Linked DNA regions of Cricetulus griseus. The protein of the gene in region 3 interacts with the protein of the main gene of each other region in a biochemical or structural test. Links are inferred from orthologs where the notes say so. Each region holds a gene or a part of one and is shown on either strand. Other genes may lie near its edges. The genes, in order: Eif4ebp1, Lgals8, Lrrk2, Ywhab, Mbp, Bag2 and Chgb.

What was found.
Region 1: of the proteins of Lrrk2 (region 3) and Eif4ebp1, one has a biochemical effect on the other in vitro, tested with the Homo sapiens proteins (3 studies listed by BioGRID). The link is inferred for Cricetulus griseus from reciprocal best matches to the Homo sapiens genes LRRK2 and EIF4EBP1.
Region 2: the proteins of Lrrk2 (region 3) and Lgals8 form a complex in vitro, tested with the Homo sapiens proteins (2 studies listed by BioGRID and IntAct, with this or other methods). The link is inferred for Cricetulus griseus from reciprocal best matches to the Homo sapiens genes LRRK2 and LGALS8.
Region 4: the proteins of Lrrk2 (region 3) and Ywhab interact on a protein array, tested with the Homo sapiens proteins (2 studies listed by BioGRID and IntAct, with this or other methods). The link is inferred for Cricetulus griseus from reciprocal best matches to the Homo sapiens genes LRRK2 and YWHAB.
Region 5: of the proteins of Lrrk2 (region 3) and Mbp, one has a biochemical effect on the other in vitro, tested with the Homo sapiens proteins (6 studies listed by BioGRID). The link is inferred for Cricetulus griseus from reciprocal best matches to the Homo sapiens genes LRRK2 and MBP.
Region 6: the proteins of Lrrk2 (region 3) and Bag2 form a complex in vitro, tested with the Homo sapiens proteins (2 studies listed by BioGRID and IntAct, with this or other methods). The link is inferred for Cricetulus griseus from reciprocal best matches to the Homo sapiens genes LRRK2 and BAG2.
Region 7: the proteins of Lrrk2 (region 3) and Chgb interact on a protein array, tested with the Homo sapiens proteins (3 studies listed by BioGRID and IntAct, with this or other methods). The link is inferred for Cricetulus griseus from reciprocal best matches to the Homo sapiens genes LRRK2 and CHGB.

Annotation. Positions count from the first base shown.
Region 1 is NW_023276807.1:56,590,396-56,594,610, reverse strand, and holds the start of Eif4ebp1 (eukaryotic translation initiation factor 4E-binding protein 1), read left to right. Parts: upstream 1-1,325; 5' UTR 1,326-1,390; coding exon 1,391-1,532; intron 1,533-4,215. UniProt on the Homo sapiens protein: Repressor of translation initiation that regulates EIF4E activity by preventing its assembly into the eIF4F complex: hypophosphorylated form competes with EIF4G1/EIF4G3 and strongly binds to EIF4E, leading to repress translation.
Region 2 is NC_048596.1:236,458,959-236,462,596, forward strand, and holds part of Lgals8 (galectin-8), read right to left. Parts: intron 3,549-3,638; coding exon 3,492-3,548; intron 1,479-3,491; coding exon 1,452-1,478; intron 714-1,451; coding exon 625-713; intron 1-624.
Region 3 is NC_048595.1:388,196,213-388,199,850, forward strand, and holds part of Lrrk2 (leucine-rich repeat serine/threonine-protein kinase 2), read left to right. Parts: intron 1-258; coding exon 259-368; intron 369-3,638. UniProt on the Homo sapiens protein: Serine/threonine-protein kinase which phosphorylates a broad range of proteins involved in multiple processes such as neuronal plasticity, innate immunity, autophagy, and vesicle trafficking.
Region 4 is NC_048599.1:15,522,207-15,526,549, forward strand, and holds the start of Ywhab (14-3-3 protein beta/alpha), read right to left. Parts: upstream 2,901-4,343; 5' UTR 2,767-2,900; intron 1-2,766. UniProt on the Homo sapiens protein: Adapter protein implicated in the regulation of a large spectrum of both general and specialized signaling pathways. Binds to a large number of partners, usually by recognition of a phosphoserine or phosphothreonine motif.
Region 5 is NC_048595.1:233,085,332-233,089,482, reverse strand, and holds the start of Mbp (myelin basic protein), read left to right. Parts: upstream 1-1,239; 5' UTR 1,240-1,369; intron 1,370-1,500; exon of another isoform or gene 1,501-1,627; intron 1,628-1,633; exon of another isoform or gene 1,634-1,758; intron 1,759-4,151. UniProt on the Homo sapiens protein: The classic group of MBP isoforms (isoform 4-isoform 14) are with PLP the most abundant protein components of the myelin membrane in the CNS. They have a role in both its formation and stabilization.
Region 6 is NW_023276807.1:14,226,982-14,231,372, forward strand, and holds the start of Bag2 (BAG family molecular chaperone regulator 2), read left to right. Parts: upstream 1-1,580; 5' UTR 1,581-1,651; coding exon 1,652-1,764; intron 1,765-4,391. UniProt on the Homo sapiens protein: Co-chaperone for HSP70 and HSC70 chaperone proteins. Acts as a nucleotide-exchange factor (NEF) promoting the release of ADP from the HSP70 and HSC70 proteins thereby triggering client/substrate protein release.
Region 7 is NC_048599.1:45,789,281-45,793,711, forward strand, and holds the start of Chgb (secretogranin-1), read right to left. Parts: upstream 2,849-4,431; coding exon 2,800-2,848; intron 1-2,799. UniProt on the Homo sapiens protein: Secretogranin-1 is a neuroendocrine secretory granule protein, which may be the precursor for other biologically active peptides.

The DNA.
Region 1 (4,215 bases), on a different chromosome or scaffold from region 3:
CCCCCCTTTCTTTCTCTCACTTTTTGAGATAAGGTCTCACATTGTCTGGCCCAGGCTGTACCTCAAACTCACTGTAACCATGCCTGGCCTCAACTTTGTGGTATTTATCTTGTCTCAGATTCTTCAGTATTAGAACTATGTGAGCTACAGCCCAGTTCTAGCTTTCTTGTTTTCTTTGAAACAGGGTCTTGTTGTGTATCATAGGCTAGAAGCCTTGATCCTCTTGCCTCAGCCTCCCAAGTGCTGGGACAAGTGTGTGGCACCATACCTAGCTTGAGTGTTGAGCTTTGTAAGCAGGCCCTCCCTGGAATCTTAGTTCTGGGAAATCTAGGGCCTCCATTGCAACCAAACAAGTCAAAAGCAAAACTCCTTTCAAAATGCTTCTCCCAAAGGGAGGAAGGTGACCCGGTATGTTCTCAAGTGTGGAGAGAGACAGGCTAGCCTGGACTCCAGCGAAGGTTGGCATACATTCAACAGTATGACCTCAGGCATTTATTCGTCAGCTGTGTGATCTTGTGCAAAACCCTGTCCTTTTCTGAACTTCAGTTTTCTGCTGTTTGTGGTTGTTATTGATTGCTTGCTTTGCTTTGTGGAGATGTAGTCCCACTAAGAAGCCTGGGCTATCCTGTAACTCATGATCCTTCTAGGGCTTCAGCCTCCCCAGTTCTGAAATTACAGGCATTCCCTACCACATGGAGATTGATAGATTCTCTATCCTATTAGACATGACGGTCCTCCTTGCCACTCCCCTCCCCTCCCTACCAAAGTGTTGGAATAGACTACAATTTGAGGACTGTTGGGGAAACGTCTTTGACCAGCCCATCCTCTACAGAGGTCCGATCTTGCCACATCAGATTTACAGTCAGTTTCCAGCTGGCTGGCTAGTTCCCTCTTAGTCCACCACTCCTTTCAAGGCCAGGGATGCGCATTGTTCAGCCACTGCTCTGACTCCTACAGCACAGTGGAAACGAAAGAAGCGTTAAGATGGGCGAAGGATCAGCCCACCCTTACTTTCTTCTAGTAGGAACAGCTGGGGATCGAGAGATCACATCCTAATATAGAAAGCAGGCCGTCTAGTGCGCCGAAAACGCGGTCACCAAATCGGAGAGCTTTTCCAACGTCACCCCTATATAGCTCTTCTCAGTGCGTCGGGGAGGGACCCCGGAACCTAAGGGGCCAACACTGGGGTTCCCGCACTGGAGAGGGCAGAAGCCGCTAGGTCAGCAGCTGGGAACAACTTGCATGCAGCGGGCTGGAGCTGGGTGGGGCCGGGCGGACCTCAAGTCTCAGGGGGCGTGGAGCCCAGGCGGAAGGGGCGGGCCGGGCTGGAGAAGGGCTGGGCCGAGGTGCCGCGGGGCTGCTGGAGGGTCGTGGGCGGCACGTAGGAGACATGTCTGGGGGTAGCAGCTGCAGCCAGACTCCCAGCCGGGCCATCCCCACTCGCCGGGTAGCCCTCGGCGACGGCGTGCAGCTCCCGCCCGGGGACTATAGCACCACCCCGGGCGGCACACTCTTCAGCACCACCCCAGGAGGTAGGCGCGGGCCGGGGTTGGGGCGACCTCCAGGGCAGGAGGGCACCCCGGGATCCGGAGTCGCACGTGCGACGGGGGTGGCGGCGCTCAAGGGTTCCATAGCTGGACAGAACGGATAGGGGCGTCAGGAAGGCTGGAGGGTAACCGTCTCGGTTGCCCGCCTGCTGGGTGTGGTGGAGCGTGGTCTGGGGGCCCGTCTGCAAACTGCGCGCTTTTTCCTGGGAGAGACCGCGGAGTGCCCCAAGCACACAGATAGGCACTCTGCCATGATTACCATGTGCTCAAGTGAGGCCTCTCTGGGTGTCACGACAGTTCTAGGGTGGGTCAGGATGGGGGTCTGGGTGGAGCAGGGGAAGGGCCAGGCCTGGAGATTAAGTTTAGTTGATCTCTCTTGGAATAAAGGACGCCTGCACACTTTTTAACCTTCCCCGGGCAACCCTCGTTTTGCGTTGGGACACTCGCTTATTGATGAAGGCTGGGCGTTGAGGGTGCTCTCTGCCCCAGGAGCACGTCTCGGCCACCTGTGGCATGAAGCCGATTTAGAGAGTGAGATCTCCAGACAGGGGCCTGGCGCTGCGTCCATGGCTGTGCAGAACAACACGTTCCTCGGGTCTGGGGGGAGGGCACAACGCTGAATTCGCCCAAGTGGCGGAGGATGAGGAAGAGGAAGCTGAGTTGGCGCGGGACGGGGCCGGGCTCCAGGAACTAGGCATTCCCAGCTTGCCCCGAGCCCCAGTATAGGCGCTGATGAAACCTACACGCCCGTTTGCATGATGAAATGCTCGTGGCTCACTACTTCCCTCCCATTCTCGAGCTGCTCCCACCCATTTTGCGCTTCTCCCTTCCCTGATCTCCTCCCCCAAGCTTCTCCTCTTACAACTCAAAAAAACAGGAGAGTTCCTGGCGCTGCGCTGAACCTTGGGCTACTGCAGGCGCGTCCAGGCCACATGCCTTTTTTCTCAAGCAGCTGTTCCTATACCAGGGAACACAGCCAGACCCCAGAACCAAGGCGCCGTTGAAGGGATCTTGTAGATGAGTGTCCAGTTTGTGCCTCTTGGTCTTCAGAACAACCCCCCCCCCTTTTTGAGCGCGTGTCTGTTATGCATTGTCACGATGTGTTCCTAGCAAACAGGTAGAGCGGGGAAGGCATTCTCCCTTTCATTAGAAATGGCCCAGGGAAAACTCTGCAGGCTTCTGGTCTCCCTTTCCTGGAGTTCTCAGAACTTTCCTGGCCTCTTCTAGTTCACACTCTTGCACCCTTTCTTTGTCTTGTTACAGAACTTTGTGTTTAAGCACAAACTTGGCAGACAGTTGAGTCCTTACAGGTGAGGCGTGAATCTTTTTTTTTTTTTTTTTTTTTTTATGTACAGGCACTGAGGCAGGCTTAAAGGCTCAGGGAAACCCTTTTTGCCCCCCCCCCCTTTTTTTTTTTTTTTTTTCGGATGGACAGTACTGTTTGTATGAAGATCCACTTCACACTATGGACTGGGAAGTGTCAAAGTTGGCAAATCATGATGTCCCAAAGCCACTGGCCCTTTGTCAGGGTGTTTTTTTTTTTTTTTTTTTTTTTTTTGTGGGGTACACAGCCCATAGCTTGAGGAGAGTCTATCTCATTTCTGCCAAAGCCAACAAGCCTGTTCTTTAGCTAAACAGTTGGATCTTCTTCAAGGGCTATTCCTTCCAGGGCTTCTCTGCCAAAGTGGAGAAGCTTGACCCATTTGCTTCAGAGTTTCTCATTACTTAGACCCCCAATTAAATACGGAGTTGGAGTACAAAGGTCTACAGAGTGAGTTCCAGGACAGCCAGGGTTGCATGAAGATCCACTTGCCTCTGCCTTCCTAGTTCTGGGACTAAAGGTGTGCACCACCACATCTGGCCATCCAGGCTTTCCTTACTGTTACATACCTTTTGGGCTGTTTCTAATGGCTCTGACCTGTACTTCCTTGGAAATCCATCTAACTTTTGAATTTTTCTACATATATCAAGGGCTGGCTGGGAGACAAAGGCCATGTTAATATCCTTGAGATTTGCTATGTCCTCAGGATCTATAGGAGTATATAGCCAATAAGCTTGAAGCAGGACTGAGATATTGCCTAACCATTTTACAGGATTTCCAGGTGAAAGGGACAAGCGACATCCATACATGTGTTATTTGCCTTTTCAGGTCTTTGGGAGTCTGGCAAAGTAGATTCCATCCAGGCATGAAGTCAGGCTGGCATTTCCTGAACTTAGGCTTTTCTGTACATCTTGGCTTGTGATTGACCCTTAGGGGCTGTGAGCTTTTCATGAAGGAATATTGCCTTAAGTCCCTTCAGCTGAGATGGCTTTGAAGCAGTTGTCTTGGGGAGGCCATGAGGGAGGCCAGAATGCCAGGACACAGCAGGTGGCCTGAGCCTCCTCCATTCCTGTGGTCATTATCCCTTTGCTGGCCCACCCAGTTAGGTATTCTGAGAACCTAAGACGTTTCTGAGGGGAGTGTCCTATGTGGGTCTTTAAGATGGTCAGCAGTCCCATAAACAGAATCTTCTAGTAAAGGCCCAGGATGGATGTTTGACCTCTGACGAAGTTGTTGGGGTGCCCGTACCTATTAGTGCCTGGGTGAGGTTAATCAGGCGAGCAGTCAGGGTGGCAATGGTAATGACCTGCTGTTTTGTTAAGCAAGCAAATTGGTGCATGTGAATTA
Region 2 (3,638 bases), on a different chromosome or scaffold from region 3:
CTACCTAATGGGATGAGACTGAAGCCCCAACAATAATGGGCCAGTGGTGGTGGGACCACGCCTTGACTGGGACTGCTGAGATGTACAGATCCTTGGCCCTCTATTTAAACTTTAATTGTACCACAGGACCCTACAAATGCAGGCCAGGGGTCACTGGTCCTCTTTGTTGCTCTTCCCCATGTGGCCACATTGACTAAATTCTTTTTCTACATTGAATAACTCCTTTTTCTACATCGAATAACCCCTTTTCTGCACTGAATAACTCCTTTTTTCTGTATTGAATAACTCATTTTTCTGCACTGAATAACTCCTTTTCTGCTTCCCACTATTAATCTGGCTTTTTTCATTGGTTCCTTGAGGATGGATAGCTGAACTTGGCTTCTTAGGGTATGGACTGTGACCCCAAGTTTGGTACACTGAGGCTATCCTAGAGGAGCCTCGTGAACAAAAATTCCACCTACCTGGCTGAAAGGGGGCCCAGCCAGAAGCTGTCCCTAGTCCTGACTCTGCCAACAGGTCTTTAGTGGGACCTTGCACTGCCATGGTCCCTCCTTTCAGGAAAGCACACCAGCTCTACCAACATGCCCCCAGTCCATAAGACAACAGTGGCGCAGCAATACTGACCCTTTGGCATTTGTATTCACTTCTCCTTTAATGACAACAGTTCGTCCAGGGCCCATGGAGGCGTTTAACCTTGCTTCAAATGGCAGGCTCTGAAAAGGGGCCACAGTCAGAATGAGGCAATCTTCAGGCAAGGACCTTGTGGGAAAATTCCTAACAACATGGTGGGTTAAGAGTCTGTGAACCCCAGGAGGGGACAGACCTTTGTTTTCATTTCAGCTGGGTACCATGCAAAGCTCATCTTGTCTAACAGGACACACTCACACAGTGATTGTTTTCACAGCCTGGGTGACACCTGACTCCTCATGCATGAGACATGGCTGCAGAGCTATCTAAGGTCTAATGGGACCAGCAACCCACATGAGTGGTTCAGACACATGCCTGAGGACATGTCTGTCCAGGGAAAGTTACAATGCCAGGGGCTGCCCTGGGCTTCTGCTGGAAGTGGAGGTAGCAGTTAGACCAGGTTGGCCTTGAACTCACAGAGATCCGCCTGCCTCTGCTTCCCAAGTGCTGGGATTAAAGGCATGCGCCACCACCACCCAGCATTAGAACTTAATTTCTAAACAGAGTTAAATCATTGGCTCTTCAAACCTTAGACAAACAGCTGAGGGGGGTGGATTTTAGTGTGAGTGACAGTTCAGTCTATGCTCTTACACAGTTCTGAGTATGATTTTAGAAGTGTCTCCTCTATTACCAGATTATAGGAAACAGTTCTACAATAATGTGTGGAAAGAATGTAGCTGCCTTCAAGGCTCAGCGGTTCATGTTCTGGGTCGTTTATAAAATGTCCTGCAAGGAATAACCAAGCAAAAAAAAAAAGTACTCACCAAATGTGCCTTGCCAGACTTATATACCTGGTGGGAGAGAAAGAAAAGTGAGCACAACCTACTGGGCAGGCTGACAGGTTTGCAAGGAGCAGCCTGCTGTGGCATCATGTATCAGTGCCTTATCTGCCTTGCTGACACAAGCACTGTGTTTCATGACAGGTGCTGTGCAAAGACTTCTGAAGAGCAACATGGACTGGAAGGAAGTCTGGTGTCCTTCATTGTTGGGGCCAAAAAATATCAATTATGATATTTTGGGGTACAAACCTCAGCTCGATCCCAGGAGCTTCAATCTCCCATTGTCTTTCAGATGCTGGCTGGTTACCACTAGATGCCTGGCCTTGGTGGGGAATGGTTCCTAGTTTGTGTAACAATGGACCAAGGCCTCTGGGTAGATGCATACCCATCATGGGGGCTGATGAAAACGTGCCTGGAAACTAGTAAGCCTAGTAGTATACAAGGAAGCTTGTGTACCAGCCTAGGGACTGGTGAGAGGCTGGTGAGGACGTGCAGTTCTAAGACTACCTCTAGGATTAAAGGAAATATTTAATATCAGCTTGATACATGATAATAGATGTCTTTTCCCCACTGTTGGAAAGCTATTAAGAGGATGCTTGAATAAACCATGGACTCCAGTCTCCAGCATGGACTGAGAGCACTCCTGAGATGACAAGATGTGTCTGTCTCATCCTTAATGCCGTGGGGTAGCTAGGAGTTTCCCGAACCACACTCTCCCACTCAGGGATGGACCCGGAGCTGTTCGGCTGGCTCCAATGGCAGTCCCAAAGATATCAGTCCAGAACAGATGGCCTCTGTAGCATGGGACTGATACAGGCTGGACCCTGGCACTTCATGTGAATACTTTAGCACCCACAAATTAATGGTTGTTCAAAGGTTTACATGTGAACTTCAAACACATTTTACCTATCCTCCCCAAGAGCCCTCCAAATACTGACATTGTTATTCCACCTGTAAGCATGGATGTGCAGAGGTGTAAGGCCTTGCTTTTTCCACAACAGCAGTGTCAATTTTACAACTGCTCCTGTTGCCACAAAGGGGCAGAGTTCATCTGCAGTGCCCTTGGTGTTCAGGATTTACAAATGCTTCGTTCCAATATCTCTTAAGAAGTTAGGGTGACAAAGTGCTTTTCACATGACCACAGAGTGGTAGCCATTTAACTAGCAGGTAACATGTCAACAAAAATACAGTGCCCCCCTCCAAAAAAAAATTACGGTGCCCAAGACCATAAAACAGTATGTTCCTTGGTTCTTAAATGACTGCTTCTGTCCTGACCTCACATTAAAAACTTAATTGGTGAAGCTAGGGAGACAGCTCAGTTGGTATGGTACTTGCTATGCACACATGCAAAAGCCAGGCATGGGAATTGCACACTGGTAATCCCAGTGCTGCAGAGGCAGAGAAAGGAGGGCAAGCTGACCAGCCAGCCTAGCCAATAGGTGAGTCCCAGGCTCAGTGAGAGACCCTGTCTCAAAAAAATAAGGTGGAAGTGTTAGGGAGGTGGTCCAGAGGCTAAGGCACTTGCAGAACAAGCATGAGGACTGGAGTTTAAATCCTCAGCACTCACCCATATAAATGCTGGGCCAGCATGGAGGCCTGCCTGTAATCCTAGCACATGACAGGATCTCTGGAGCAAGCTGGCTACTTAAGACTAGCTGAATTGGCAGGCTCTGGGTTCAACTACGAACTCTGCCTCAGAATGCTGAGAACAATCAAGGAAGACATCTAGCGTCTATTTCTGGCTTTCACACACATGCCAACACATGTGAACATGTATACACATGCATATACTGCACACATATACATGCAAAAAATAATTTTAAAAAAAGATGTAGAGCAATTGATAAAGACTTCCAGAACTGACCTCTGGCCTCCACATACATGTACACACACGTACACATGTACCTACACACACATGAATGAATACAGAAAACTCAATAATTTCAAAAACTAAATAAAGACTTCCTTCCACTGATGGTAACTAAGAACATTTTTAAATTACTGGTTCATGGAGAGGATATTTACATTTTCTCTACTTATCTGTGTCAGGCCCAGGGTAGATGTTTCCATACTCTGTAAATCCTACAAAAAGATCATAGATTAACATCATCAGAATCTTTTTAAAATAGTGAACATAATAAAAAAATCAGTGACACTGAGCATGGAAAAGTA
Region 3 (3,638 bases):
GTATGGGACTGGATACACAGCTCAGTTGGTAGAATGCTTGCATACCACACAGGAAGCCCTGGGTTCTGTCATCCTCAGCATCGGGTAAACTGGGTGTGGTGGTACATGGCTGTAATTCTAGCATGTTGCATGGAAAAGAGGACTGGAGGAGAGTCAAGGCCATTCATGGCTACAAAATGAGTTCAATACTAGCTTGGGGTATACAGAACACTATCTAAAAAAAAAAAAAAAGTAAGTATTTACCTTTCTTGCTTTCAGGTGGGTTGGTCACTTCTGTGCAAATTAATAGAAGTCTGCCCAGGGACATTGCCGAGCTTAATAGGACCCCAGGATATTGGAAATGATTGGGAGTTCCTCAGAATTCATCAGTAAGTATGACAGATGTGTGGAAATAAACTGCATTGAAGAATTATATATGACACCCTTTGCCATCCAAAACCATTCTGATAAATTCCTTCAAAGCAGATATAGTTTTCTTACATCGATAATTTATATTTATAGAGACCTTTAAACTCAGATTTATGAATTAGAAAACTAAAGTTGATGGATGGTACAATATTAGGTGAGATGACTTACAAACACAGTTCTGTGATTATGTAAATGATTAAATTGTATATCTTTGAGTATGACGTAAGACAAAGCAAGACAAGCTTTTTACTATTAATGGTGGAAATGAGAGAATCCATGAATTCCTTGAAAAACATGGCAACTAAGAAGTTACTTCTGACCAGAGGCCTTGAACAAGACCAGTGACTCTGCAATGAATATTTGCCATTAAGCTGATGGGACAAGGGGGGTGTACTACATAATACACCAGAGCCTCCAGTGTCACCATGGCAAATGAAAAGCTGTTTGAGAGGCAGGAAAGGAGAAGCAAAGAGATTTTTCTGTTGTTGTTTTGTTTTTGTTTTTGTTTTTTTGTTATTGTTGTTTTTGCTTTCATTTGCTTTCTTGCTTACTTTGTGTTATTTTTCTTTTGTGTGTGTGGGGGTGGGCTGCATGGCAGGGATGAAGAAAGGACATCGGGGGACTGGGAGGCAAGCAGAATTGGGGTGCATTATGTGAAACTCCCAAGGAGTCAATAAGAAGTTAAATTAAAAAAAAAGAAGCTACCTCTGTGAGCATTTATTATGCTCTACTGTCTTCATGTGCACATTTGCATGTGTCTGGGCATGCTAATCTCAGTGAAAGTAGACTGTGGCTTGCAAGAGGAAGAGAAAAGAGGAAATGAATTCCCTCTCAACCCTCTGAAGCCTAATCTAGGTGACTATTTATCATCCATTTGGTTGGAGTTCTCAACATAATGTCTTTCATAAGACCACATTCATAACCATAATTAGGTAAAACTTTTTGGAGAAAATTTATAGGAAATGTTCAGAGGAAAATCCTTTTAAAAAATAATGTAGTTTCTGGAGACTTATGAAAGTGTCTTGTCATTAGGTGCCCTCAGACCTAGAGCCACCATGATGAAGATATTATACTCCCAATGTTATGTTACTTGAGAAAAATATATTTTACTAAAAACTGAATTTTATAATCCTTTCAGAAAATTTATATGGGGTAGAACAGTGTGTCTATTCCTAAAGGAGTTATTATAGGCCTTGGTGTTTACATGTTTATCCACTTGTACTATATAGGTGTTGTTAGTTTTTAGTTTCTACCATCTGAAGAGAATGGTTTAGAAAAACAGCCAATTTCAAACTAATTTTGAAATTCCATGTGTCAGTTCTGTAACATTTAATAAAGACCTACCCATGGTATACTTGTAATTAGTCATTCTGATTTTAATGTCCCTTTTGTTTGAGGATTTCCAATTTTCTTCAAGTACAGTTAATCTTCAATATCACTCAGAGACTGTTGGAAATCTCACCTCCTTGTATTCCAGAACAAACCAACCATTTGGGGGGAATTGTGATACTATTTTGATGGGAAATATTCATGTCTTCACTCACAAATTCTCTTGCTTACCACTCAAGTCCAGCCCTCTACCTCCATGGGTTGTCTACACTCCTGCTTTAAGAGAGATCTGAGTTTGTGACCAAGGGAGAAACACTGCTCTCTACACTAGAATATTTTGGGAAAAATTTTGTAAGACGTTTTTCTCTGTAGCCAAGCTTTTCCCCTCCAAAATTGACCAATACCAAAGAGAATTCTGTAGCAGTCATTTGAAGGATGGTGAGCACACATTTTCAGCTCTAGCTGATGCTGTGAACCTGGAAGAGTAGAGCCTAAAAATGAGGCAAAGTCTCATGCAACAATCAACTTTATTCAGAGCATCATTCAATTTATACTCTAATAGTCAAGAAGAGTCACATCAGTATAGTATACAATCACAAGGACCAGCCACACATGGCAAAAATATGTTTTTTTTTTCATGGAGGCAAATAAACAAAGTAAATTCACTCTTTTCTGCTTGCTATACCTGAGAGGGACACAAAAACACACTCCAAGATGAATTCTGTGGTTTTGAAGACACCAAGGTTACAACTCTTGCCCTGTTTGCTTGAAGTTTTCTCACAAGCAATCAGAATTTGCCTTTCATGACTCCATTCTTGGCCTGTGTTCTGACAGAATGCAAGAGGGAGAAGCAGGGACAGAATGGGTAGAGAGATAATTGGCAAGATATCAACAGACCTTCACCTTGCTAGGAGACCAAAGGACATGTTTTGTGAATATAGAAGAGGCTGTGGATAGCACCAGCTCTGTCTTCTTCCAACAACATAAAACAAAATACCACCTGGCAGAAAATGATTAAAGGCTACATATGGAATGGGTAACAGAGATTAAAATCTAGTGAATCTGAGAACAGGTACTATTGATATGAGTTCATTATCTAGTGTGGAATATAACTTTATCAAAGATAGTAGCTAACAATAATTTTAATATTTAAGTAGATCCTGAAGGTTGTGTACAAATGAACGTCTTTATTCAATCTTCCTGTATGTTACTATGTCAACATGCATGACATATAATTCATAAATTCTTATGATGTATCTAAGACATCTCCTCTGGCTATGGATCATCTTCATGGTCCTTTGTGTATTAATGACTAAGTAGGGGCATTTGGAGGAATATAGGTGGGACTTGGCTTCTATCAAGACATAGAATAATACTTCCCTCCTAAGTGTCTTAATTTTTCCATTGTTGTGGGGCAATCCCCAGGCCTTGTATCTGGCAGGCAGGCACTCTGTCACTGAGCTACATGCAAGCATAAACATTTAGGTTTCTACTAAATGTTTCCCTCCAACTTTCCTGAGACATGGTTGATAGCTAGAAAAATGTATGTAGTCAATGCAATTAACTTGTTAATTTGATGCACAGAATCATGTGAAGTTTTTGCCACAATTGATGCAAACAGTATTCCTGGTTATTTCATTTTCTTATTTATATTTTTTGTATTGGTAGAGATTGAAACTGGGGTCTTGGGCATGCTGGGCAAGTGCTCTGCCAAGAGCTACACCACAAGTCAGGATGTTAATTTTATTAGCTTGCTTTTAGTTTGTACCAAGGGAGAATGTATCCCATGAACTTTGATGAACAGAACAAAGTACAGTAAGTATATAGGTGAGTGAGAAACAGTACTTAAATACTGTACGTGCTTTGCCCACATGTGCAGTCAGTGCTTTGTCCACTGGGAA
Region 4 (4,343 bases), on a different chromosome or scaffold from region 3:
AGACAAAGGCTGATCAATGGCTACTAAGTTATAGCTACACAAGTGCTGCAAGTTCAGCTGTGCTATGCACTGCATCTTGACTACACAAAGTATGGACCCTGTGTCTGTATTTCTCAATGGGCTAGAAGAAAAGACTTTATTCGTCAACAAAAAGAAATCATGTCTGGCCAGGCAGTGGTGGTGCACATCTTTAATCCCAGCATTCGGGAAGCAGAGGCAGGCAGATCTCTATGAGTTCCAGGCCAGCCTGGTCTACAGTGTGTTCCAGGGCTGTTATACAGAGAAACTCTGTCTTGAAAAACCAAAAAAATCATGTCTGAGGAGATAGGCTATTTAAAGATCCCACAACTTATACAACTATTTTACATATTTAAACACCGTGGCATATATTCATTTATATTCAATTATTTTTTTAAAATAATTTTATTTGTATTAAGAAAATCTACATTCCAGAAGCTTTTTTGTTTAGTTTTGCTTTTGTTTTTTGAGACAGGGTTTCTCTGTGGCTTTGGAGGCTGTCCTGGAACAAGCTCCTGTAGACCACCCGGTCCAGAAGCTTATTTTGATTCAGTCTGCCACCACACATCAAAAGTTATGTTGCCAGCCCAGCACAGAGGTGCTTACCTGTAATCCCAGCACCTAAGAGTCAGAAGAAGCCTAAAGCAGTGAGTTTGAGATTAGGCAGGGCTACACAGCATAAAGGTGGGAAAGAGGGAATACCGTTATCATATGTATGGTCCAGATGAGAAAAACTGGACTTGCTACATGTACAGTTACATAATATATCATTTTTCAATAGCAAGTGGACAGAACAAGACTGTGTCTTATCAGAAAGGGAGAAAGAAGAATGTGAACTCAACCATTAAAATACAACAAAATCAAAGGTTTATACTTAACAACTTACAGTTTATAACTGTGGAGATAGGGAAACTAAGAAGCAGAGATAATTAACTTCTGATGATCACTGCCAGAAAACAGTACAGAGAAAGAACTGAATCAAATTTACCTAACGTCATCTTCAGTGCTGTTTTTGGATCCACAGCCAAGTGGGAAAAATGCACTTTTTGCAGCAACCCAAATCTCTGGAGACCCTTGCCTAGGGAACAAGCACCAAGGGAATATGCTCGGCCTGGTTTCACACAGGCTGCCTCCCTGATCCATACAGCTCCAAGTCTAAAATGGCTTCAACGTAACACAAGCACTGCATCATGGGAAACGTACAGAAGATTAACAGGGTAAGAGCCATACTCCAGGGGCTGGCAGTCCATAAATACTTGCCATAGATGAAAGAGCATATTCAGTCTGAAAGTAGGTGTGTGGTTTAGGCCAAATCACCTCATTTCTCATGAAGACTTCATTTGTAAGATGGGTGAATGGTTTCTTATCATGTTTGAAGGCAGAGGTTAGGAAAATAATTCAGCAGTTGGTAGTGGATTTTCAGTCTTCGATTTCTAAGGTCATGCTTAAAATTCTAACTTGGATGAAGAAAGAAAGAAAAACAACAACAACAACAACCCAATATTCTCCATCTGTATGCTGCCATGGCCGTCGATCTTTAAAAAAAAAAATATATGAATAAAAAAGAAAAAGAAAAAACCTCGGACAACCCTAAGAAATGAGGTCCGCTGGATGGAGGCAGTCAAGAAGAAATCCACCAAAAAATCAAGTTAATATTCTATAAATTCCCAGCAGCTAAATGTAAAACGCTGAGTAACCTCGTGTTCAGGCCTATAAACTGTTATGTGTGGTTTCACAGAAACACTTGAGATATGGTGAGAAATGTAATTTTCACATTCTCCTTAGTGTTGCAGCTTTCTGCATTGGCTCCTGTGACATTACAGACTCATAACATCTTACAGATTGCCCCTCCCACATCAGACAAGTAAAAGCAAGAGTGGAATACTATCTGGTCTCACCAAAGGGAATGTACTGAAGGCAAGGACAAGACTTATTTTACAGAGAGACTGGCAAATTCTCAGCAAGGCTGCCACCTTTGGAATCCGCCCTGCACGCAGGTTCTCCATTTGCAATAGACCCAGATGCGCTCATCTTGGAAAGAAAGGGTCCACATCCCGCCCACTCCTTCCCCACTAACAGACAAATTCCAAGCAGTAAAACACAAAATAAGCCAAAAAAAAAAAAAAAAGGTGTTTGGAGGAATTTGGGGCGCAGACACACGAGATTAAGGCAGTAAATGACGACAAATATCATGAGAAGCCTCAATTCTCAGCCTGATCTCCCCCCACCCCTTTGGGAATCCGGTTTGAGTCAGTAAAACGATTCCCACAAATCCATTTCTTGATTCAAACCTCAACCCCGCTGTCAAGAGAATCTCGGGTCCAGCCGGGTTTCCCACACCGGCGATGATGAAACAGCTCTACTGCAGAGTGGGAGAGGGATTCGCCCCAGCTGTCGCCAAGGTTAAACCCTTGCTCATCCAGGGGAGTGCAGCAGGGACTCGCTCGCCTTCCGCTACCTTTCAGTTTTTGAAAGCCACAAAGGAGCGAGGTTGACAGGCCCAGAGGGAAGGCTCCGGGCCCGGGGGGAGCAGGCAGGGGCGGCGCCGAGCAGAGGAGGTGCCGAGGGGAGCCCGCGGCCCAGCCGTCCCCAGCCGCACCCCGTGCGGCCCGCCGAGAGAGAAGCCCGGGCTTCCCGCGGAGGCGCAGGCCCGGCCGGAAGCGGGGAGGGGCGGTGGCGAGACGGGCCGCGGCCGCCGCCCGAGAAGGGGCTCCGCGCTGGGGCCCCTGGGAGCCGCGCCGCACTCACCGTGGAGGACTGTAGCGAGCAAAGGCGCTTCCGGGAAGCTCGGAGGGCGGCGACTGCGTCTTCCCCAGGCCCACTCCTCAGACGGCGGCAGCAGCGGCGGCAGCGGCGGTGGCGGCGACCGGAGCTGCAGTGGCGGCGGCGGCAGCGGCTACCCGGCTCAGGAATCGGCGGCGGCGGCGGCGGTGGCGGCAGCTGCACTTCCGCTCCGGCCACCACTTCCGCTCTAGCCCAAGTCCCGCCCCACCCTGAGCCGGCTCCTCATTGGGTGAGCGAGGCACGGGGTTGCCCCGTCCTCCCGAAAAGGGCGGTGATAGCCGGAGGAGGGGAAGTCACGGAGAGCCTAGAGGGAGCGGTCGTGGGAGGGCGCAGGGCCTGGGTGGGAGCGAGGTGGGGGCGGACGCGGGGAAAGGAAGTGGGGTGGGGAGCAGGAAGAGGAGAAAGGAGAGAGGGCGGAGCTGAGGTGACCGCCCGAAGGCTGGGATGTGTGAGAACAGGGCGGGCTCCCGGAGGGAGGGTTCGGAAGCTCGGAGCGTTCTTGGTCCAGGTTCGGGGGTCATATGTTCCCACCCCACCCTGAAAATAATCCTCACGGAATCGGAGGCCCTCAGTCCTGTTAGCTGTGCGCTAAGGGAATGCTTGTAACCAAAGGAGAACAGAAATGGCTCAGCCCTACTTTTTCAGTAATTCCTATTTCAGGCCTAAAAGGTACTTACTGTTCCTCTCCTAGACCCAGGAAGCTACGTGAAGTGTCAGGAACAGAACACTCTCAAGGTCTTAAGAAAAACAAAAAACAAAAAACAAAACCACCCTCTGTATATGCATTCTTCACTGAGATTCCCTGGTCCCCAAGTATCATTTATAGGAAAGCCTCAAAGACAGGAATCCGGGGCTCTCCAGACGGTTTTCACTGTTACTTGAGATTGTTAATACTCCCGTTGACCCTTAAATCTAGCCCTTCAAAATACCTCTATCACCACTCCTTCACTTTTCACAAATTCTGTGTGGCAGCTTTCTGAACGCTGGAAAATACAGCAAGGGACAAGACAGACGGTTGCCCTGCTGTCTTGAAGCTTACAGTTCTTCGGAGAAAGAACAAATAGACCTTTGTCATTTCTCCCTTACGTAGCTTAATGATAGATTTATAATTCACCACTTGACTCAGAGCCCTGCCCCCACCAAATGCCAAGTGATCTTTTTTCATTGCCATTCTGTGTGTCCAGAACTACAGACTCAGGCATATAGTTCTATGAGTAAGACTATCAGAACTCCCCAGAAGCTGCCCTTAGTGGTTGTCAGCACCCCAATTCATTTATGGAGCTCCCTATTCTCCCAATGTACTTTCTCAGTATTTATAAACAGTTTGAGATTGTTGCTTAGGGTTTCTATTGTTGTGATGAAACACCATGACCAAAGCAACTTGGAAGGAAAGGGTTTATTTGGCTTACACTTCCAAATCACTGTTCATCATCAAAGGAAGTCAGAAAACAGGGCAGGAACCTGGAGGCAGGAACTGATGCAGAAGCCATGGAGGGATGCTGCTTACAGGCTAGCTCAACCTGCTTTCTAATAGAACCCAG
Region 5 (4,151 bases), about 160 Mb from region 3:
ATTGGATCAGCCATACCTGCCACTGGGAAGGAAACCTGTTGTTCCTGGGAATCAACAGAAGCCTTGGAGGGCATGAGGCTGTTGTTCCCACTGTGGCTAGGCAGCTCCCAGATTCACTGACACCTGCAGGGCAGGGACATTGGGACACATCTGTCTCCTGGCTGCTGACATTGAGTTTTGATGCCTGGAATGGGACCCAAAGTTCTAACATTCTCTGATGTCCTGAGCATCAAGCCAGCTGTGAGCACTGGACATCCCTGTCCTGGGTGGCCCTCTTGCTTCAAACAGGCTTAAAGTCACTCCATCTTAGGTTGGACCAGGACCTTTCCCCTGCTTTTCTATCCTTACCTCCAAATCCCAGGACCTACATCCTCTCCGACTCCCCCTCGTATACCATAGCTCCTAGGTGCACGGACTAGTTAGGTGTCTCTACACTACTGTGAAAATAGTTGTCTTAGAAAGACTGGCATTTGGAAATAGTCACAAGATCCTCCACCTTCCATGAGGAGGTGAAACGCCTGGAAACTCCCTAGGAGCCAGCTCTGAGACTTCCTGTCCTCTGTTCTTTGCATGCATAGTGTGTGTCCCTAGGTTGTCTGATTGATACCCTCATAATGTTTATCTCACGAAGAACTAGAGACTTACTCAGCGTGGTCCCCTTCCACTAGTTCCTCCCACCTACCCTGAGTCAGGCTGATGGAGTCAAAAGATCCATGTGGCAGCAGGGAACCTGTGTTCAAGTAAGCACAGTGGGGTCCTCAGTGGCAGAAAGGGAAATTTCCTTGCTGGAGTCACTAGCCTCCTTCGTGACAACAGACGTCCTGGGCCCTCTAGCCAGCACCTGCGGTCTCAGCTCCAGCTTCAGGCCCAGAACACAAAAACTACCTCGGGTCCGGCTGACCTTCTCATCCGGAACAGGTGCCAGGGATCAAGGTAACCCATGGTACAGGGCGAGCGATGCCAATTAGACCTCTCTTCCGAGCTCCCGCTGTCCAGGCTTCTGAAGCAGGAAAGGTTCCGAGAGCAGCGGTGCGGAGCGTAGGGCGGTGACGAGCAAAGCCCCGCCCCGCGGCTCGCAGGGCTGCCCTGCCCCTGGGTCCCCGCTTGTCCTCCGCCCTCCCAGTGGCGCGCATTTACCTGCTTGCAGGCAGAGGGAGGCGGGGCGGGAGCGGGGTGCGCGCCCGTCCCCGGAGCAGCCGCTGTCAGTCACCGCTGCTGAGCGCCAGCGAGGACGAGCCTCTGGCCCAGGCGGCCCGCGCCTGGCGACCCGAAACACAGTACCCGCGGCCCAGCGACCCCGAGCCCAGCGTCGGGCCCCTCCTGCCGGGCTCCCGGGCGCCCATTGGCTTCCAAGGCGCAGGCAGCACTGGTGAGTGATCGTCATCAGGGACGCGCGGGGCGGCCCTGGAGCCTTTGTCTCCGCGCCCCTAAGAGCGGGAGACCTCGGCACCGAGCCTGACTCTCAAAGAGACGAAGGGAAGGGTGCTCGGTACTGGCACCAGAACTCTGATCCCTCCCCAGGCCAGGAGCGCCCGGGTCACAACTGACCAGAGGAGCAGGTGTCCCCGCAGGTGGCAGCTGGGCGACCTCTCGGACCGAAACCACGTCGGCAGCCCCATCTTTCTTGGCAAGTGGTGGACGCAAGTGTAGACTCAGGTCCACAGCGGTGGGGACTAGGAGCCTGCAGGATAGCCCGGAGTGGTCTCCGGCCAGGCCTGGGGACCCCGGGGTCGCTGAAACTCGAGCGGCCTAAAAATGGTGAGGGGAGGAGTTTAGAGGTGGGAGGTGACCTCGGTCTAGAGAGACAGCCGTCCGCGTGCGGAGAGGGGTCCTGATGGGCTCCGAGGGCGCCCAGGGGCCCACCTAAGCCTGCCTTGCCTGCTAACCACACACCTGCTGGCCCTCGTGCGAGCCCTGCCCTGCTCTGCCCTTCCCCACAAGGAGAAGCAGTTCCTCTTCGAGCAGAGGGCGGCGACAGGCACTTGTCCAGGCTTCCGCCTTCTCCGGGCCTGTCTCGGGCTCCTAGGCCCTCTCCCACCCTGCCCACCTGCTGGCCCCCGCGCTGTGTCCAGCCCGGCCCCGTCTTCCCGCCCTAACTTGATCTCTTGGTCCTGCTGAAGCGCCGGGTCCCAGTAGCCCCCGGGGGACAGTCCTCGTGTTCATGTTCTGCTTTGGTGTGTTGTAAACGCCTCTGGTTTTTAGGGGATGTGCGTACCCTGTGTGGGATTTTGAGGTGTTTCTCTAGTCCCCTGATTTGGGAGGTGGAGCGAGGCTTGGACAAGGGTTTGTGATTCTCTGAGGAATCAGTTCTGACACTTGACGCTTGCCAGCAGGACAGCTGCTGAGCCACACAGCACACCACACCACATGAGAGTGGATCTGTGCCGTTGGGGACAGTCTTGGAGCAGGGCGTGAGAGCCTGTCGGGTGGGAGGCATCAGACACTGGACAGGCATCGCCTCTGCCTGCGCAGGACACCGGGCATGCAACTAGAACATTTCTTTAGAAGAAGGCAACCTTAGGGAGGTCTCATTTAAGACCTGTGGCTTTGGAGATTATGTCTAGATGAGCTCAAAGGACCACTCACTCACTACTCATGGCTCTCCCAGAAGAGCTTCCCCTGCCACCGGCACCTCTGGGATGGGTGGGGGCACCCGTGTTAGAGGATGGGATCCTGGGAAGAGGCCAACCCAAGTTGGAGTGCAGGATAACCACATAACAGGTGCACAGCCCCCCAGCTCGTGTAGACATTCCCAGATTCTCGGTTGGATAAACAGAAACCTGAGAGAGAAAATAACAGTTTAAAATAATCGTGAATGTGAGGTGCAACGCCTAAGAATTTAATTGTTCTGAAATGCGTACTTTTATCGACTTGAGATTTTTTTAAAAATGTGTCAAATCCACTTTTGATGTCTGTCTAGATATGAAGTGTTGGTTCTTGGTGGAAATGGTGTGTGTGATTTTTTTAAAAAAAATCTGTGAACACAGAAAAAGAACATAGCCCCATCTTTCAAGGATGTTCCAGTTTAGCCTGGATTTTGGAGTGCTAAAGCTTATTTTGTTTGAATCTTGGTTTCCTCTTCAGGCTCTTTATGTTTTTAATGCTTAGATTATATTTATTTACTTATGGGTATAGGTGGGTGAACAAGTGTGGAGGTCAAAGGATAACTTGCAAGGGGTCAGCTTTCGCCTTCCACCATGTGGGTTTCGCCCCTCTCCAGGTTCTTTCCAATGTCAGCAGCTTCCCCTGCCTTCCCAATAGCAGGTGGCATTGACTGACCACTCACCAAACACCAGGCTCGATACTGAAAACTGTTGACTCCTGCATTTAAGTTTTAACTGAAGTGGGAGAGCTTCATCCCCCCCCCCTTCCTTTCTTCTTAAATGTCCACCATTAGGGGATGGAGAGATGGCTCAGTGGTTAAAGATGCTCCCCTGTCCTTGTAGGGGGCCCTAGTTAAGTTCCCAGCACCCACATCAGTTGGCTCATCACTGCTTGTAACTCTAGCTCCTAGGAATCCGACACAGTCTTCTGGACTCTGAGGGTACCAGCTTTTACAACATGCAAATACCCCCACCCAGATATACATATGACCAAAAGTAAAATTTTAAGGCCACAACTAGCTAGTGGCCATGCCTATTAAAACATCCAGGTTCCATCCCCCAGGTGGCCTGACCATAGAGACACCCATCTTAGTTGGTATCCTTTGCTTAGCTTTCTTTATTGATAAGGAAGAAAAGCAAGTGTCCCTGTGACCCAGCGTCACATTAATAAGCTATTGCTTGCAAAGACAGGTTCTTACCAGTCCCCCAGAGCACACTAAAGGAATCTGGGAGGTCCTATGCTGCAACAAAGAGATAACACATCAGAAGTCCCTGTGCCTCCCAAGCACATGGGAAAACTGCTAGAACATTCTTCCATGAAGGCTTTAAGTCTCTATTGAAATCTGTGGTGGGCAAATTTTAGCCTAGAAACAAAGTCCATAGGAGATGCTTGTTAGCGATTCTGAAGCTACCAGGAGCTACACTCAGGAGGTGTAAAGATTAAAGATGCCGCACTGTGGCTCTGAAAGTTCTTTTGCTCTGGGCTTTGTGAGCTCTAGGGGAGGAGAGAAAGGGCAGGGGAGTGGATGGTTGGGACGTAGGTAGTAG
Region 6 (4,391 bases), on a different chromosome or scaffold from region 3:
GAGTCTATAGTCATATGGGAGGAGCCTGGCCATTCAGAAGCACACTCTCTCTAAAGAGTTCACACATCTTTAGACAGGAACACACATGTAGTCTGAAAATGCCTCTGTGTGTGCCCAACTGGTGACACAAAATTAAAATAAAATGGTTACTTTGAAGATATCTGCTATATTAGTTCCTTTTGCTGGGATAAAACACCATGACCAAGGCAACTTATAAATCATTTAAGCCCCGCGGTGGTGGCACTTGCCTTTGATCCCAGTACTCAGGAGGCAGAGGCAGGCAGATCTCTGTGAGTTCCAGACCAGCCTGGTCTACAGAGGGAGTTCCAGGACAGGTTCCAAAGCTACAGAAAAACCCTGTCTCAAAAAACAAAGCAAAACATCATTTAATTGGGCTCAGCTACAGAGGGTCAGAGTCACGATGGCATCAAGGACAGGTTCTGAGCACTCATCTGGAACCCAAGGAGGAGGCAGAGACACACTGGGAATGGCTAGTCTTCTGCAACATGCCCAGAGTGACATACTTCCTCCAGCAAGACCACACATAATCGTTCCCAAACAGCCAACTGAGGACCAGATGCCAGAGAGCATAAGACACTGAATCCATGACATCTGCCTTGTTTAGTTGCTAACCTAGGACAAAGGCAGATGCTATACCACCGAGCTACGTCTACAGCCCCTTATACTTTTTGAGATTTTTAGCTCTTGGCAAAGCAACCCCGCCTGGCCTTTGAACTCACTCTGGCCCGAGAGACACAATCCTTTATCAACATCCAGATGAGCTGGCATTAGACCTGAGATGAGCGCAAGCTTCGATTTTTCAAGACATTCACAAAACGTTCAAATTTCACATTTGTGTCATGAAATGACAATGTTTAATGAAGCCAGATAACCTACTGTTCCTTATTATGTAAAATGAGTTGGGGATGGGGCGGGTGGTGATGGTGGTGGAGGACCTGGAAGCCAGCTGTGCTTAAGGGACTTGACTCTGTTAAGTCATCAAATGGCTTTGAGTTCTGATTCAAGGTTGTAAATCCAAGTTTCTCATTTTCTGTGCACCGAGAGGACAAAACACAACTCTAACCAGACATGGCTTTGTATTTCAACCCTACTCCACCTCTTAGTGACCTCTGCAGGAGCCTATTGAATATTATTCACGGAGGATTTCAATAAGTTGGGTGTGAAAGTAATAACCTTTCATTAGAAAGGCGAGACAGTATAAATGCACTTGGCTTTTCCTTATTTGGAGCACAGTGTTGCCCAGGCTCTCCCTGTCCTCTTAGGAGCCTGCCTGGTAACCCGGCAGGTCGGGCAAGTAGAGACTGCCCCTAAGGCGCACTCAATTGTCTTAACGCTACACCAGGGGATCTTTTCTCCCACGTCACGGGCCGCACGATTTTGTCCCTGCTGTGAATTGTGGGTGTTGGGACAAACATCAGAAGCCATCGGCGAGCCGGCAGCCCGGTGGGAGGCTGGCGACGGGCACCGGGACAGGGTCCCCCACCCGAGTGCTGGCGGCTGCGCCCGCGCCTGCCCTTGTTTGGCCGCGCGGCCTCGGGGGCGGTGCCGTCCGCGTCAGCGGCGCCCGCGGTGACGGCGACGTGCGGCCCGCGCCACTGCTGCCCGCGGACGCCCCGGACCCCCGGAGCTCATGGCCCAGGCGAAGATCAGCGCCAAGGCCCACGAGGGTCGCTTCTGTCGCTCCTCGTCCATGGCAGACCGCTCCAGTCGCCTGCTGGAGAGCCTGGACCAGCTGGAGCTCAGGTGAGGGCGGGCGGGCGGGTGAGCGTGCAGGCGGGGGCGCCTCGGGTGGGCTCCACTCCCCGGGCGAGCGCGCGCGGCCTGCCCAACTTCCAGAACCTTGTGTGTGGTCCCCGCTGCCTCTAACTTCCACGTTTCCAGTAATGCTCTTTGGAGGGAGGCAGCAGCTTAGTGGGGTCTCTCCCTCCCACCTTCCCATTGTAGTAAGTTTCTTTGCCCCAAACCACTTCATAGTAACACAAGAGTAAGGAAAATTCCAGACTGCACCTCCCGCGACCAGCGAGAATTAGACCCACGAGTGGCCGTTGTGGGTGGCAAAGTTGGATGCGTTCTTTCATTTTCTTAACCACGTGCAATGCCCTCCGCATTCGGTCTGTATCTGTTGTGCATTTAGAAGATACTGATGACACCTAGGAAGTGCCAGCCACAGGCCTGAAAAGGTACGAGTCACACTCTGCCTGAGATTCTATCGCAGGATCGGTGTTGTAGTAAAATTTCTAAATAGTAAATACTAGCAAATGCTGTAAATACTTTGTTGCCTACAGCAATTTGAGATCTTACCTATCTGGTTAATGTCTCCGAAGTTGTGCAAGTCTTGATTGTGTGCAGGTGTTGTTCCATGAAAATCTTATCAAGGCACCCTGGGTCTTCTGGAACTGCGAACATTTTGTTCCCTAGTTTTCTCCAGGTTCTGCATAAGCAAAAGAATATGAGCAAAATCATAAGAGTCTTGTGTGCCTAATCTCCTTCCATTCGTCCACCAAACAAACAAACGGGAGGATGTTTGCACAGAAAACTACCACAAGCAGCATTGTTACAAATGAGGCATTTGTTATTATTACTATTAGGAGCAGAGATCCAGACGGTGAGAAATTTTTTTCACAATTTCCTGAGTAGCCACAAGAGAAGCCTTAACCATACAGTCCCCAGCCCGGAGTGAGACAAAGGGACCTCAGCTTTCAAGCCCTTCTGAGGAGAGGGAATGCTTCCCTCTACAAAGTAGGCACTGAACTTGGACAGTATATTCTCAACTGCTCAGATTTTTTTCTCCTTGAAAGGGTTTAGGAAGTTGTTACTCTTCTTTAGCTGAGTCACTGTCCTGAAACCTGAATTAATGCCTCCCTAGTGCTGGGTAGGGGGGTGGAGGGGGTTCCTGAAAGCCTTGGGTTTGGTGTTGCAGTCTAATGTTTGGTTAATGTAAAAGGAATTCTGACTGTTGCACATATGTGATTAATTGATACTTTAACTATTTGCTGAGAGGGAGAGTTTAATGTGTGTTTAATGGCTCAAGGCATGGGGCTCCTTTTTAGAAGCCACTTTGACACAGGGCACTGCACTATTAAAAATTTAGACTTTTAGCTGGGCAGTGGTGGCACACACCTCTAATCCCAGCACTCGGGAGGTAGAAGCAGGTGGATATCTGTGAATTTGAGGCCAGCCTGGTCTACACAGTGAGTTCCAGGACTGGCTTCATAGTTACTGAGAAACCCTGTCTTAAAAAAAAACAAAATAAAACAAAACAAAATTTTTAAATATGGATGATAGAGGAAAGATGAAGCTTGTGTGATTTCCCGATACTAGCTTCCTTGTATACAAATATTAGCAAGGCTGTGGATTTGGTGCTGTAAAACCCTGGTTTGTAGATAGTATGCATTTTCCAGTCAGTTGTGTGGATTCTATTGACAGTGGAAGTCACTTTTTCTTCTGAAACTGAAACCACATCAAAGGCTTTATATCCTGGAGGCTGAACTGACCTCTGGGATTGCCTAAAATGCTTTAAAATGTTCAGCCCTGTTTTACAAGCTGTTAGTGGATTGTCGTTCGTTTCTATTAGTTTATAATATTAACTACACTATCTGACATTAAAAAAAATATTTTCTACTACAGCTCCTCTAAAGAGGTAACCCTGTCCTTTCTTGATTTTTGCGACCAGTTCTATGGGATTCTGCGCCCTTCGTGGCTAGATGGCTTACTTATTACTTTTTAATGTTTATCCTAGTTTATAAATAATACATGTTAGCATCTATCTGCATGCTAGGCCTCATGCCTCTGTGGGAGTTACCATTATCTGTATTCTACAGATGAGAAATTGAAGCTCAGATATAAACGACATGCCTCAAGTTGCAGCCAAGAGCTGTGGACTCCACGTTTGAACACAGGAAGAGGGGCTGCTCAGATCAAACACCATGTGTCTTAGTGTTGAATATATCATTTTTCAAACTGTCCAGTTGGCATAAGAACGTGCTTTTACTAAAAGAAAAATCAATTTAGCATTTAATTGAGTAAATATTGAGCACCCAGTACGTGCCAAGTATTGAGTAGCTTCTAGAAGCTGTGGGTGATAAAGCAGCTGGGTCTCGGGGATTGGCAGAGGAGGAATGAATGATAGGTAGGACTGGGAGGTCGGCTGTCCGTACACTTCCCAAATGGTCCCATAGGGAGTAGTTCTTTCCAGTCCACCCAGGCAGGAAATGATGTTGTCGCCAGGGCCAAGGAAATGCACTGTCCGCTGCTTTGGTTTCTTACTGCTTAAGGTTCCTGTCAGGATGTCCCAGTGTCCCAGGACTCACAAAGCAAGTCGACACCATATTTAATTGGAGTAATAGTCTGTAATTTAAAAGAACACTTTT
Region 7 (4,431 bases), on a different chromosome or scaffold from region 3:
CAAAAAAAGAAAGAAAGAAAAGAAAGGAAAGCCCCAAACAAACAAACAAACAAAACCAACCTCAAAGACAACAACCAAAGATGTGGATATTAGATCCTTACTCACTCAAGATCTTTGCTTAAACAGTTTGCTTCTACATCTGTTTCAATATTATGTTTCCCTGCATTGTATAAAATTGTGTAAACACCATCAGAAGTATCAAGTTCTCTATCCCAATATCATCTAGCTGATAAGGATCATTTAAAAATATTTGAAAAGTGCCTAACAAGCTTTGAAGAAAGACCCCAAGTTCTTCTTCAAACACAGATTAGATAAGACCTGGCTGGCCAACTTTGGGCACTCAGGGTCATACAGGCTTTGGAAGTCCTGTTGTTTTTCCCTTTTCTTTAGTGCTGAAGACTGAGGCTAGGTTCACACACATGACAGACAATCACTCCCCCCAACTGAGCTGCAGCCCCAGTCCTGGGCCATTCTTTTATGCTCCAGACAACTGCTATTTTGAGAACGTACCTTGGCACTTTTCTCTTTTGACCTGAAATCTGTGAAATTCTCTGGAAAGTAACAATGGGAGCTTTGTCCCTAGATGACAAAGAAGTCACCCTTTCCAAATTCAGCTTTCCAAACCTTCTATAGCAATGCAGCTCCACATATATAGTTCTGTCTGTTGTCTCCCCCAATGAAAAGTGAGTACTTTAACTACCCATACAGCCAAAGTACTAACCCTTGTCAGATCTGATGGTCAAGGGATGTCCCATTGTCCTAGACAATTAGCAGTTTACGACTTACTAGTATAGAACTTCCCTGTTTCCCTCAGGCAGGCTCCTCAAACTCTTAATAGAAAGGAACTAGGATTTGCTTATGAAAGCACATTGTGTACTTGGTGAGACTGGTAAGTGACACACGTTTCTTCCAATAGAATCTGTGCTAGCAAAGTAATAACTAAAGATATATTGAGTCTCCTTAACTTTCTCAACTTATTTTTGTAGCAAATAAGAAATAAACACTTATGGGACAGTGAAATAATCAAATGGTTAAAAAAAGGATCAAATAATAAATCTGGGAATAACATCTGAAGTATCAGCATCCATAAGACTATTATGACTATAAAAGTTTAAACCCAGTTGGAAATTACAGCAGCAAAAACAGGTTAAACATGTCCCTCTACCAGTAAATCATGGGCATGCCCAAGTTACAACCAAGGTTGCCAGTCAAACAAGATCTGCATAGTTAAAAAAAATCCTTCTTCATATGATATGGATTCATGTTAATATCTAAAGTGCCATAGACAGTTGTGGATCTCCTTTTATAAGCTCTTAATGGGAGAAAATGAACTAGATGACTTCCTGAGGGCTTGTTACCAACCACAACTTTGCTAAATAACAAAACTATTAGAAGTCCCTCATTGCCAGATTTGGGGAGGAGGAAATAGGGGAGGTGATTGCTAAGATACGGGGTGTCTTTCTGGGGTGATGAGCATGTCCTGAAATTTCATTGTGGAGATGGTTATAGACTGTGACTAGCTTATACACCAGGGAGTTAGACACTTTTAAGAGGCAGCATAATGTGTGAATTATAGCCTAAAAAATGAGAGGGAATCATAGTTCCATTTTAGTTACTATTAAATATGAGCTTTTATTCCTTCATAGGAGGTATGAAAATGTTTAACCACCACAGTTGAGTTACAAAAATGTTACTGTTCTGTAATCTAGAACACAACATACAGTATCACTGTGACCTCTTCATCAATGTCTTTCTGAAATATTATGGACTCAAAGAACTCTAACTGATTCAGTTTGTTTTCTAAAAAAAACTGAGAACATGTATTAGTTATTCACAAGAATGATTTTTAAAAATTGAGAACATTGTGAATGCAATAAAATAAATTACCTTTTGCTTTCATTTTGTCAAACGTTAAATCAAGTGATTCCTGTCCATCAAAGGTTTATATTTATGGAGTCAAGTCTAGTTGGGAATCTCAGTCTCAGAACAAAATACTTCTCTGCGGCCATTCAAAGAAAGCTGCTAGCTTAATTTGGTGTTGTACTTACTCATCAGTATCCCAACACAAACACACTTCAAGCCATCAGAGATCACTGAGTAATTTTAAGAGTAATTTGAAATTCAACACCACAATCTTCCACACACAAATCATCAAATATTAACTCCTTTTGTTTTCATCCTCCAAAATTGACTGAGACATTAGTTTACTGCTCTGGAGATACTTTTATGATTATTACAAAGTCTTGTTATTTTTATTTCTAGATACAAAGAAATATCTAGAGCAAATCCCATTCATAAATTAAAAAACTGATCAATTTAAACGCGAATTACCTCTCTCTATAAACATAAATAAAAAGAATAAATATGTTGACCCTGTAAACACAGACACAGGAAGACCTGAAAATGCCTTATATGCACACGTATCTAATTCTAACTCGTCATCTTTATAATAATAGAGGAAATTTTGCAGGTGCCAATTGCATGCATTCCCACCCTGCTGCGGTCTCAGTGCTGTCAAGAGTCACACAGAGTATCAGACTACAAGGTTCTTTCTAGCCTTGTAGAGAGCTTGAGGTATCTGCAGAGAACACAGAATGCGGCTTTGCTTGCAAGGGCCGCACAGCCCCTGCGGGAAAAGCAGGGAAAGGCTGGGGGCTCTTGTTTCCTCAACTCACAGGGCGGTGAGGCAAGGGATACCAGGGGAAGAAGAGGCTAGGTAAGAGGATGAAACCTAGCGCCTCCAGCACTGGGCTGTGGGCCCAGCTCAGGGAGCTGTCCGCGGTGCTGAAATCCACTCACCGGCCAGAGCTGCAGCGCCCAGGAGGCCGAGGAGCACGGCGGTCTGCATGGCCCTGCTCGCCAGCTGCGTGCCAGGAGGAGCACAGCGGGTGCGGGCTCCGCAGAGCAGCTGTAGCGCGGTGGACGCAGGTCTGGCTCTTATGAAGGGCAGGCGGGCTGCAGCGCCCGAGGGCGAGCGGCTAGCGGGGGCGCCCCTTGCTCAACCCTGACGTCACGGAGCAGCCCCGGGGCGGCGCCAGTGGGCAGAAACTCAGCCAGTGAGCGTGGCCCTGTGCTGGGTCCAACAGGAGCAGGCAGGGAAGCTGGAAGGCCAGGTGCTGTCTGTCCCAGGCGAGGAGAGACAAGGGTCCAGCTCAGATTGCACGCGCCTGCGCTCCAGCTCCCCCGCACATACCTCAGAGCTTGCAGATGCGAGTTTGAGGCTGTGGGTACATGTGCTTCTAATGTGTGTAAACGATGAGGTCAGCTTTGTGTCTCCTCTGCCCAGCCGAGGAAGATCCTTGCTTAGAACACACAGGCGGTTCTCAGACCTTTACAAGAAGAGTGATGGCTGCACACTTTAGGAATCTATAACTTGCTCTTGGTTCAGATGTTAAGTCAGTGTATCTGTCTTACCATCTGTGACTCTGTCTGTCTTCCATTTGTGGACACCTCCCACCCCACACACATAGCTTATTCAGATGGGCTTTAAAAAAAATCAGATGGGCCAAAAGGATACACTGCAAAATTATCTCGCTCTTTTAACCACGGTTTCCAAGTTCAGTTCCCGCTGTAAGCAGTTTCTGTGGATTATTCCTAATTTAGTCCGGAGCATATGTAACTGGCACTATTCCTCTCCCTCTCCCGTCCTTTCCCTCTTTCCTCCCTCCCCTTCTCCCTCTTGTTGCACTGAGTGGGTATGTTGATGTTTAACCAGCTCTTCCTAGTAGACATTTATTTAGGTTGTTAGCTCTTCTTCTTCTTCTTCTTCTTCTTCTTCTTCTTCTTCTTATTCTTCTTCTTCTTCTTCTTCTTCTTTGGCCTTTAGTTACTTCTTTATAACAGGGGAATAGCTGAAGGGCAGGGTATGAAGTAACCACCTTGTAGGAACTACTACATCCCTGAAAACCTATTCATCTTTGCTTGCTTTTAAATTGAGATAGAAATGCATTTTAATTATGTGTGCAAGGGAGATGATAACATCTTCCAGATTATTTTTGACATGGATTCTGTTAGCCTAATAAGGAATCGGGAAAAAGCACAGGCAAGTATCCTGCCCAGAACAGATACAATCTGCTCTGATAACAGATTCTGAGGAACATTGAAACTTAACTTGAGATCTCTTTGGTTAGGTGATGAAATTGCCTACTGACAAACCAAAAAGAGATTTCCAGTTCCTTCTCCTGAAAAGTCTCTAATTCTTTTTGCACATGATGAGTATATAGATAGATTCATCTTCCTGGAAGATTGTTTTTACCAAAACTGCAGCTACAGAATGTATGTTTTTACATTTCCTTTTTGTTTTTTTTTTTTTTGGAGGGGGGTTGCATTGCTGGGGAGAACATACGGCCATGGGCTTGCAGGCAAGCACTCTACCACTGTCCTATATTATCAGCTTCCCAATACTAGAATTGTCTTAAAAATGATATTTCT